Lepisosteus oculatus: one gene and its partners. The protein of the gene in region 1 interacts with the protein of each later gene in a biochemical or structural test. Links are inferred from orthologs where the notes say so. Each region holds a gene or a part of one and is shown on either strand. Other genes may lie near its edges.

Region 1 (3,747 bases):
GGAGGCAGGCTTCTCCAGGCCCTGCCCAGGCTGAAGGCTGCCTCCTCACTACGGCTCTCCGCTTCACTGGCAGCTGCAGCTGGGTAGACTGGGAGACCCCAGCACAGGTACTCTGTGACCCCTCTTCCAGTTGTTTCAGGTGATTAGACCAAGTTTTCAGCTCGGAGCTTTGTAATGTCCCTGCCTTGAGAGCGAGCATTCCTGGTGCTGGAGGCAGGTCTAATGTCTGAGTCTAACACCAGCGCATGTGCTGGACTGTACTCTGGGGGCTCCCTGGTCCTGGGGTCCCCCAAACCTGCAGCTGAGCTCCTTCCCCGACCCCCGGCCCACACTGGGCTCCTTCTCGGAGGCTGGAGATTTTAACCGCATTAACTTTGTTAATGGCTGGATGGCGCCTTACTGCATTTAGGAAACTTACTACGTTTAGGAATGAACCAGAAAGAAATCAAATTAAACTTTTGTTGAGTCTATTCGTTATGGGTCTCAGTTATTTAATTTAGAGTTAGGGTTAATTGGAGCTCTTGGATTTGTGCTTTATCGTCTTGGAGACCGCCTTTCAACAACCGAGTTTCTTACGCAACCTGAACGAGACTTTCGATTAGGAAGCGGAGAGATTCTGGAGACGGGTGGAGTGGGCAGGTGTGTCGTGCTCCAGCTGCCTCTCTGCAGCGGCGGGGTCGCGTCTCGGCCGCTGCTTTTGTTTCCTGGTGGAGAACCGCGCCAGGCGCGCGCGACCCCTGCTACGCGACCCCACCTCCAGGAGTCTGGCGTGCGCGCGCGCGCGCGACGCTCGAGAGCAGCTGCGCCTCTGACGTCACGCGTCGGGCTCTTTGGCGGGTGATGACGCGCTCGCTGTCGTGAAAGGCTCAGCACGCAGAGCGGCCACATCCGCCCGGAGTGGAGCAGGGGTTTGTAGTGCAGTGTGCGTGCGCGTAAGGGTGTGATTCTCCTGCGAACTTGATTTTTCTTTCCCGGATTACGTGGCGCGAAGGGTCGGGGTGAGGCGAGGGAGGCCTGAGACGCGGGGGTGGTGGTCGTGGTTGGTGTGATGTTTTCTTGGATGAAACGGGGAGCGGGCACTATTTGACGCGCGGAGGGATCGCGGAAGCCCCGCAGGGGGTGGCGAGGCCGAGCAGCCATGTGCTTCTTTGTTTACAAAAGCAGGAGTGAGGAGACGGCGGCGCGGCGTGGGGAGCAGCGCCGGGAAGGAGCCCCGAGTCGCGGCGAGAGCTCGGTGCCACGGGGCCGCCCTTGTCCCCGGCCGGCCGGCCGGCTGGGCGGGCGGAGGAAGCGCGGCGAGGGAGGTGCCGGGCAGCCGAGCTCCGTGCGGCGGCCGTGGGGTGGTTTGCGAGTTCGGCGACCGCGCTCCTGATGAAGCTGCAATGTCTGAGGTCCGCGTGTGTGTTTGTCCCGGTGTTGGTGGGCTCTCTTCCCTCCCCGATCCGAGTTCAGGCTCAGTTTTAAAGACGGAAGAACGGCCGTGGATTGGAGTTCGTGGGCGCCATGTGCGGCACTGTTTACTAGTGGACATCGACTCCCTCTCCAACAAAGAGATCAGCGCGGACACGGGTGGGGAGGTCCTCGCTGTCCCTGCGTGTGGGTGTTTTTTTTTGTTCCGCGGGCGAGCTCTGTTGAAAGCTGCCGTTGCGGGATTGTCTTTGTGAGTCTAGTTGGGCTGTTTTAAAACCGAAAGTGAAATGAACGGGTGAAAGCTGCGCGTGGGTGGCTTCTCGTGGTAAATTTCCATTGGTAGTGATGGTGGGGGTCTTCTGGAGACGCGCAGTGGAGCTTTAAGATTGTGAGGGTGTGTATCCGAGGCTTCGCTGAATTATTTCGTCCGGGGGATAATCTGAGACTCGACATTTTTTGACAGGCGGGCTGTGTTGTTGACATTTTAATTATGAATAAATACTGTTTAAACTAGTGTTTATGTTGCCTGCTCAATGCACGGCGCCGTTCAAGTTTGTACTACTCTAGAGTAGTTAACAGGCAGTCTTGTAACTTTTCTGTGGACTTGTTCATATGGAAACCTGCCTATGTAGATCTTATTTTCAGAAACACTTGTGCCGCGAACGCGTTGTATTTTAGTGGACATTGTAATTTGTCCACGCAGAAAACTTAAATCCAGGTCTGTGATATTAAAAAGATGTGTGACTCCACTGCATGTAGGGGATCATTTTCCGGGGCGCGCAGAGGAGCAGTCTCTTGAGTTTGTGAACTGAAGGTCCGTGATTTCGGTTCAGTGGGAGCTGGGAGCAGCGGTAGCGCTGTAGAGTGGAGTGTCACGGGGGAGGGGGAGGGGAGGTCACGTGCTCTTGGTTTTGTTTACAGCTGGAGCGGTGCGCGGATTGGCTGTCACTCAAGGCCGACTGCGCCAGCACGAGCCGCTTCCACGCGTGTACCCTGTGGCTCCTCTGCGCGGTTTTCCGATGTTGCGTTGTCAGCATGCGTTTCGCCGCCGCCGCTACTCTGTGTCGTGTGCGATAGCGGTTGTGTTTTGTGAGTTGAGAGCTGTGCTTTCGGCAGCACTGCTGTGATGAGTTTGCCTGTCTAGGCTGTCCAACTGCCCAGCATGGTGTCATGATTTAGGGAGGCCTATGTGGTTAGCATGGGCGTCCTCGAGCTGTGAATGCTGGACCCTCTCTGGAGCCAGCAGGGTTGGAATGTCAGAAAGCGATGGCACGTGAGCTCTGCCAGCCCGATCGGACAGTTCTGGGGGGCTCCTGTGCGTGGAGCCAGCGAGTGTCTGCAGTGTGGGGTGGAGAAGCCTGGCCTGCTGTGGGCTGGTCCCGTCGCCTGACACCAGATTAGTGGTCTTCAAGATTAAAGGCTTAGAAAGCTGTCCGGGGCCCTGCTGGAGGAGAGGCCGCTGGCGGCGGGGGGAGCTGGGCCTGTTCACAAGGCCTGGTCCTCTGCGTCCCTGTGGAGGACCTGTTGATCCAATAGAGGCGTTCAGAGCTGTGCCGCACGGGTGTATAGTGATGCCAGAACATGTTCGTGTGCCCCAGCTGTGTGGTGTGGCTTCAGTGTCTCTCCTTCGCACTGACCCCACTCTCTCTGTCTGCTTCTTTAACCTCTGCAGCAGTGCTGGAAAATCCCTTTTGGCTGGGACACAGGGTAACACTCTTCCAAAATTGCCCCCAAGAGTTCAGATCTGCCCCTGCCTCTAACCCACAGTTAGTTTTCCAGCCCTGAAGTCCTGCCTCTGGTGAGACAGGGTTTTCAGAAAGTACTGTGAACTTCGAATTTGAGTTGTGATGCTGTCGTGCAAGGCCTGAGGCCACGCCTGCTGCTTTCTGTTTTCAGTCCTGCCAGACAAGTGTCATGATTGCATTTAAATGCATTTTAAAGGTTGTGTCTTGTCTTCCTCCAGAGAAGTGCAGGAAGTTCCTGCAGGAGTTCTACACTGAGGATGACGCTGGGAAGAAGGTCTTCAAGTACGGCGTTCAGCTGGTGAGGGCTCGGGGCGTGGGGATGGATGTGGCCGTCCACGGCATGCTGTACAGCTAATCAGGATTAGCTGTTGGAGCGCGTGAACTGTGTCCTGTCTGCTTAGTCTGGGGCTCCCCCTACCTGCACTGGCAGCCCTGTGTCCCATCTGCTTAGGTTGGGGTTCCCCCTACTTGCACTGGAGCGTTGCCTGAGTGGAGTTGTCTCCTGTGACCTTTACGTGCTCTGCTTTGGTCATCAGAAATGTGTTTAAATTTGACAGCCGTGAGATCCACATCTTATTTACCTGGAGTTGGG
Region 2 (3,747 bases), on another chromosome or scaffold:
AACCCACATTGGTTCGAGCATTTTCATGCCAGACTCCTACAAAACAATAATTAGGAAGTCTATTACTCATTTTCTCTTAGCACATAATGAAAGAGTTTCTTACCAAACAGTGAAGTAAGCAGCGCTCCTGAGGAGGAAGCTATCATTTGCTGGACAGGTGTGATGTCATTGAGCACAGACACTGTTCCCTGGCCACTCATCTTGTCCTTAATCAGGAATACAACGGCAATCCTCAAAAGACAAACAAACTGCGAGCTGGCATACACCTGTACTGCTTTTTCCTTCAGACGTGAAATTCAATGTCACTCTGTTCTGAATGTGCATATTTGACATTCTCTAAATCCACTGTTGTTAATTGAATAAAACAAGCATTGTTTTTCCCCTTAAACGAGTTCAACTCCATTAAGTTTTTTAAACTATTTGAAAAACACCCTGGAAAAATTTGATGTTTCTGAGTGCAATACGTACAACCTACCTTGCTAACTCTTCAAAGGCAAGAAAATAAAACTGATACTGTCAAACTGTACAGCTGTGCTCTTTTCCTGGCTGTTTTCTTCACATCAGTTAAATGTCGAGATCGACACTGTACCACATCTGAATTATTCATCGTTAGCATAAAGGCAACGAAACCATTAATTAAATTAGATTAAAGACACTTAGGTAAACTAACTGTTAGGGTTTCAATACAACATGTCTCATCAGGATTCTCTCCAAGGCTCTGACCTATGTGTTACATATGCTGTTCTCACAGCACACATGCTTGGATCACATGACCTATGCCGATGAGTCTATTCTCACATTGGCCACAGCACATTCAACAACACGGACATTTAAATTATGCCTTACTTTTCGAACCTTGAAGAAATGAACGACAAAAATAACACTTTTTACGTATCACAATTCTTACAAAATTAAAAATAATACAATTATTTTATATTTAACTTGTCAGAAGTTCTCTTATGTAATCGCAATGAACAGAAAACATAAATTGCATTTTAAAAAGTGAGACGGAAACTCTGGAATCCAAAATGAAGATAGTTTGAAAGAGAGGTTTCTGGGATACTAACTAGTCGAAGCGGGAAAGAAGAAAGTTGTGTTAAGGAAAATTTGAATTGTTTCATTCTTTAGCATTCATAACGGTAAGTATTTTGTTCGGGTGGGCAAGATTAATCATTATGAATCTGATTTCGATATAATTCGTGGCTATTAAGAGTTAGTATGCGGTTCGTTCTCAGCAGGCTTATCACGGTTGTTTGCTCTCATACAGTAGCAGTCTACTTCCAAGTTAAATGTCGGTAGTTTTTTTTAAAAAAAGCAGACGTGTTTCTGTACGTTCGTAACGACTACGCATTTTATGCAATGTGCAATTTTAAACTGATCTACTGTTCTAAAATATGTGTAGTTTTTAAAAGCACATTAACACAGTAGTTTGATTAATTTTTTAAACAACATGTTTTTGCAGGGTGTTTTTCATGTTTTTCGATGAGCTATGTTGCTTTACTTCTGGATCATAATTTGCTTTATAAAATCCTCACGACTCGTGTTGAAACAATGCGTGCATTATTAGATGTCTTTTCTATGTTTCTTTCAACAGAAGCCATTATAGAAGGTGTCCCTACTCCCCCAAATGTAATATATACTGAAAATGAAAAATAGGGTTACCTCCCAGGATGTTAATGTCAAGTTGCAAGGTATTTTAGTTTCTTAAACATACCATGGAGAAAAATGTCATTGAATATTGAGATTTTTGTGCAGATCACCAGAAAGTATTCTGTTTAACTTGTTTGCCTTAACCAAAACACACTGTTTGATATTGCATCAATACTTTGGCCAAGTTATTGTAGAAAATATATGAAGAAATATACATAAGTAGACATGACACATAGAGTAACAAGTTTAAGTATTTGTTTTTAGTGTAGAGTCAAATTGAAGCCTAATGCTCACCCAGAGCTATTCTTTCGAAAGGATGTAGCTGCATGGTAACTTGAATCTGTTACTGTCCTAGGTTGGATTTGATTAAATTAGAAAAACACATTCTCCAAAATGTATTATAAGTCTGTTAAAGCATGATGAAATATATGATCCCCACAAATTCAAAGTGCAAATGGAGAAATGTGAAAAGTATTCTTATGTATGGGAAAATATTTTCTAACGTTTCCCAATCTGGCATGTTTGAAACTTTGCAAGCGTATTAAACAGGTCATTACATTTCATTCACCTACTTTTCTTACCCTCTGACATGCTGTTATTCTGCTACTATTGGGAAATGTGGGTGTAATCTTTAAAATTGCTCTCCTATGTTTTTGTTTGAGCAAGAGCAACCTGAAAAACCCCTGATATCGTGTCCATTCTTTAACAGACTCAAAATCGATTGACAAAACAGAGCAGAACAAGGTGACATTAAAAAGTGTGCTGCAAACAGCAAATGGGTCTTCAGGACTGAAAACCAAACCTCTGGCTGGAAAACTATTTTATCTAGATCTGCCATTCAGTAAGACCACTGAGGCCTTGGAGAAAGACATTCAAAAGCTTGGTGGGGTAAGATATTTTTAAGTACAAATATGAATATTTTTGCATTTTACTGTTTGTATTTTGTGTATCCACGTGTGTATAAATATGGAATATTAAGCATTATTCAGATTTAACAATGGATCTAAGCTGTTATTGTTCTACCACTTTCAAAGTTATTACTTTTGTGACTGAACAAACCTAAACCTTTAGGACCACAGTTATTATAACTTTGGAAGTATTTGTCTTGAAAACTGAAGAAGTTAATTAGAAATGATAACGGCACAAGCATGTTTGCATATGTGGAGGCTGTTTGTTGTTTTTTGAAAGATGCAAAGGTTTTGGTTTAGTAACCAAGTCTGACAAGATAGATTTTTCCAGACTGTCACAACACTTTATATATAAAAATGTTGTGACAGTCTGGTTTTAAATGTACTTCCCCTTACTTACCACTTGTATTTTCCTATTCGCACTGTTGATTCTGCCAGTGGCCGTAGGATCTATGTTATCTGTGAGGGTTTTGAATGAAGAGTGAGATTTCTGTTTTCGAGGCTAAAACTATTTATTTTTGCCTGGCATTTCTTTGAACCTGATATGTGTCTGAATGGATTTCTTGCCACATTATCATAATTCCCTAATGGTTCTCTCACTTCAGTTTTCCTCTATCCTGGTTGCTTAGAAAGACTTGATTCCCTCTAGCAGTTATAACAAACTGAGTAAGGAAGCAGACATGAAATTGGGCTTTAAAGTGGTAATGCTGCTCTTATTAAGTCTACATTACATGTATAACAGATTTATTTCATTTTAGACCATTGAGAGGTTCTTCAGCAAGGACATTCGATATCTTGTTTCCAATAAGAAAGAGGCAAAATTTGTGAAATCAGTTGGAAGAAATTCTCCTTTATCAAGCCCTGGCTCTCCCAATACCACTGGGAACAGCTCGCCTTGCCTCAGCAGCCGAAGAGGAAGCTGTAAAGTAAGCTCGCAGGATGCTGCAGACGTGAGTTTGTTATGAACTTTTCCTAACATTTTTTTTCATTCCTCTTAGCATTTCTGTGATTGTATAGTTACAATGCCCTTTTTGTGTGCAGGCAATAAAAAGCAGAGGGAAATCACTGGTGGAAAAAGTTGTCAAGGAACAGGTAAATATTCTGTCAAGTGTCTCCATCTACTGTAAGCAGGATTTTATATAGAATGTTGATATGTTCTGGGAGAGTGTTTCTACATTTCAGAACATTT
Region 3 (3,747 bases), on another chromosome or scaffold:
ATCTGGAAAACCGGCCGCGCCCGGGCCCCGAAGGGCTGGAGCAGCGCTCCCCTACCGGATGCGTAGCACGATTCCCTGCAACGAGACGGCTCAAGGGCACGCCCTTCCATCCAGTCCACTTCGCGGTTCTGCAGCCGCCAGGCCCTGCATTCTCTCTTAGTTAGCAGCGTCAACACAGAAAGGACCAGAGTGGCACACATCCCATGACTGCAGCAGTGCAGGTCGGGAGGACCAGAGGCTGAGAAGCCACGTTCCAACAGAGGCATGGGAAGACCCCAGACTTATAAATCACGACCAGAACTGCCGGAAAAATATCGACATCACCAGAAAGGGGAACGCCTGGCCCTCCAGTCAAACAGAGGCCTGCTTTTAAAGGCGAATAGGCCGATTTGTTTTTATTGCTCAGGTCCGCGTCAGCAGTGGCGGCGACGGGCAGAGGACTCACCCTGCCACAGTCAGGCACTGCAGCTCTGCTGCAATCCGGACCGGGTGGCTGGTCGGGATCAGGTGCTTCAAAGCAAACTTCTCTTTCGCGCCAGACGTCAACCGTGCCTCCGCCAGGTACACCGAGCTGAACGTACCTGTTAATCCCAAACACAAACACTTCTATGACACATCCGGCGTGCACAGACCCCACACACTGGCTCTGGCTGCCAAACCACAAGACTGCAGCTGCTCAGCTACAGCGCTCCAGCTTCTTAAGCTAAAGAATAAGTTCATTATATTAGAAAATGCTTAATGCAGTTCAGACCTTCACCAATTTTATCCAATATGACGAAGATTTTGGAGAGCTGGGGTATGGCTTCATACAAGCTTTCAATATCCGTTTTGATTTCTCCTGTAAAGAAAATAAACAAAAAACAACTTAAACCAAACAATATTTTGTCCAAACCAAATATATATATATAAAGGCAACTATAAGGTTTCAGAGTTACAAAACAAAGAGGTTACTTCAGAATTGAATGCACGTGTGGTTTCCCGTGTGCCAGTAAGCCACCCAGACCTCAGAAATCAATACATCAGAATAATCACAGCTTTGGAGGGAATGGGAGTCAGAAGACGACACCCCATGCCTGCACAGCCAGTACAGAGAGGAGCGCCCCACAACCACAACAGCTCAGCGCTGACTCGAGACTCACCTTGGCCACACGGGACGCTTTCTGGGTATCCACACCGTCAGTACACTGCTCAAATCCTTACAGCACCTGCACCACGCTTCCAGCATGCTGCGTCTGTCATATCATTGTACTGTACGCCCCCCTGCCCTCTGGTAGGGATTACAGGACCATAAAGGCACGAACCTCAAGATTCAGAGGCGGTTTCGTCCTGCAGGCTGTCAGATGACTGAACTCTACCGCTACCACTGGCTCACACTCATGTTTATTTCCTCTTCTCACGCTGCTTGTCTGACTTGTATTTAAGTTGTACCTTATTTAACTTTGTTGCTGCTGCTGCTGCTGTTCTGTGTTTAAGTCTCCCTATCAGAGCACACATGCAAATCAGCATTTCATTGCACTTGTTCAGCACATGACAAATAAACGGTGCTGAACATCACTACCCCATCCTGCTCTGCTGCACGTACAGTACCCATCCGTTACTTGTACAATGGAAGTGTCATACGTATTGCAACCTCGGTCCTGAGGACCTGGAGACAAATCCTTCAATGAAGCAACAGGTTGCCTGGCTGGAAAAACTTCAAGTTTATTTTTGGGGTCTATTCGAAGGCAGCAGCTCTCTCCCACTTACGCGAGATGTAGTTTCCAACGCGCCCCTCCGGCTTCATCTGTAAAGGAGCCGACTCCATCTCCAATAGACAGAAACCTGACGAACAACAGAAAGTCACTTTTTTTTTTTGGGGGGGGGGGGCAGGTTCAAATACGTACCCAATAACGCGCATAGACACACACACACACGTCAAGACCGATGAGGTTTTCTCCTTTTTACGCACTGTTCTCTTTGTCTCTGTCAAACGATCACGTCTGAGCATCGCAGAAGAGAACAAACCCGAGGTGTTTTCGGGCCGTCCGCTTGCAAGGACGATAAACCCCCCAGACAGCTTGCAGCGTGCGACCCCCGGGAGCCCGCAGACCATCGGGGGGGGAGGGCACGTGTGCCACTTGTTTAACATCACGGCTTGTGGCACAACGCTCAGCGGGAACTTTTATTGTCCAAGTGCCATCCCGGGGGGAACAGCAGGAACAGCGCCCGGATAGCCGGGGCGCACACGCAACTCGCAGGAAAGCCGATTCACGCCACCGCCGCCACGTCGCCTCACCCCGCAAACTTCAGGACGAGCTACAACATGAAGTTAGGAGGGGGGAGCGCACGACTCATCTCCGATCAGCCCCGGCAGGACTGCCCTGTAAACAAACCCCGGGAGGCGACCCGCAGAAACAGCAACGCGAATATAACCGCGCGTCTGTCAGGGTCGTGTTGACTAAAGAACCCCAGCACAAAAACTTCCGACAGCACATCCGCCGCTAACCCCGCTCATCTAGAGGCTCAAAGGCGTCCCCGTTACCTCAGTACGGGAGCGGAGAGCCCAGGCGCTGCTGCCGGCCGGCCGCGTCTCTCTTCCTCCTCCCGCAGACGAGCGACCCGCGCAAACGTGACGTCAGGGGGGAGGGCGGGGCCGCGCAGCGCGAGAGCGAGAGCTTCCGGCTCGCTCCAGGGCCGTGCGTCGGCACGCGATGCAACCGCACTACCCCTCGTCCCCCGCAGAGCAGCGGCCTCACGCCGAACCATTGCTCTTGTGCACGGACAGCTCTTTGCAATGCAAATGAAAGACACACAAGGCTGCTGTTGTTGATGAGATATATATATATATTCTACCAAAACTTCTGTAAATTTGTCATGCCCGTAGACACTGAATCGAACTGCATGATCGACCCTTTCTCTTGCCCGTCTGTTTGCTGCACGAAGCCCACCATCCAGTTCCTCCAGTCTGATGTGATGCCGTTGTTGTTTGTTGCATCCCAAGTGTCTAGCGACTGGATTCTAGCTAGCGCTTTCCCAGGTGAGTATGTGAGGCTGGATAAGTGGGCGACGGGATAATCCTTAATTATCACATGATCTGCAGCAGCTGTGATAATAAAGCACTAGTTCAGTAATAGAGGTCATAGGCTTGTAATGGACTGGAAAGGCTGGCCTTTCCTGATGCCATGTGTTCGAGAGACCTGTAGCTCCTGAAGGCAGGGTTTTGGGCACTGATATACATGACAGGGTGTCCAGTCCTGGTCCTGGAGGGACAGTGTGTCCGCTGGTCTTCTAGGTCTCTTCAATGCTGCAGCATTCCAGACCTGGGGACAGTTGTTAAATGGGACCAGTTCACCCAGTCACCAGCAGGTGCAGCTCATTAAGAGCTGAGCTGGAGTGAAGACCCACAGACACACCAGCCCGCTGGGACCAAGACAGGACTCTGCTGCTCTATAAGGACAAACCTGATGTGAAAAGGAACTTGCGTCTGCACTTTCCTGCACATTAAAAACATACATGACTCTGTTTATTAACAACATGCATTTTTTTGCATATGGTTGGCTCAGCACAAATACTGTCCTTAATGTGTAATTTAAAAAGGGTAAATATCTCACTTAAAAGCACTGTTATAAACTTGCTAGTTATGAAACTAAGGGAATGATGACTTTCGTTCATTGTAAGGTGTGACTAAGCTGTGCATGACGAGGGTGCTATGAAATATTGTCACCAATGGGTCACCACTTGAAAAGATGTTATCTTCAGCCGAAGGTG

The links.
Region 2: of the proteins of mcm7 (region 1) and dbf4, one has a biochemical effect on the other in vitro, tested with the Homo sapiens proteins (2 studies listed by BioGRID). The link is inferred for Lepisosteus oculatus from reciprocal best matches to the Homo sapiens genes MCM7 and DBF4.
Region 3: of the proteins of mcm7 (region 1) and cdc7, one has a biochemical effect on the other in vitro, tested with the Homo sapiens proteins (2 studies listed by BioGRID). The link is inferred for Lepisosteus oculatus from reciprocal best matches to the Homo sapiens genes MCM7 and CDC7.

Annotation. Positions count from the first base shown.
Region 1 is NC_090698.1:12,416,060-12,419,806, forward strand, and holds the start of mcm7 (DNA replication licensing factor MCM7), read left to right. Parts: upstream 1-1,119; 5' UTR 1,120-1,382; coding exon 1,383-1,569; intron 1,570-3,373; coding exon 3,374-3,453; intron 3,454-3,747. UniProt on the Homo sapiens protein: Acts as a component of the MCM2-7 complex (MCM complex) which is the replicative helicase essential for 'once per cell cycle' DNA replication initiation and elongation in eukaryotic cells.
Region 2 is NC_090705.1:6,476,551-6,480,297, forward strand, and holds the start of dbf4 (protein DBF4 homolog A), read left to right. Parts: upstream 1-1,031; 5' UTR 1,032-1,139; intron 1,140-1,594; 5' UTR 1,595-1,645; coding exon 1,646-1,691; intron 1,692-2,359; coding exon 2,360-2,538; intron 2,539-3,316; coding exon 3,317-3,508; intron 3,509-3,599; coding exon 3,600-3,650; intron 3,651-3,747. Other genes in the region: mitochondrial glutathione transporter SLC25A40, read right to left, coding at 104-200. UniProt on the Homo sapiens protein: Regulatory subunit for CDC7 which activates its kinase activity thereby playing a central role in DNA replication and cell proliferation. Required for progression of S phase.
Region 3 is NC_090704.1:1,478,179-1,481,925, reverse strand, and holds the start of cdc7 (cell division cycle 7-related protein kinase), read right to left. Parts: upstream 2,685-3,747; 5' UTR 2,522-2,684; intron 1,822-2,521; 5' UTR 1,805-1,821; coding exon 1,747-1,804; intron 839-1,746; coding exon 752-838; intron 582-751; coding exon 446-581; intron 1-445. UniProt on the Homo sapiens protein: Kinase involved in initiation of DNA replication. Phosphorylates critical substrates that regulate the G1/S phase transition and initiation of DNA replication, such as MCM proteins and CLASPIN.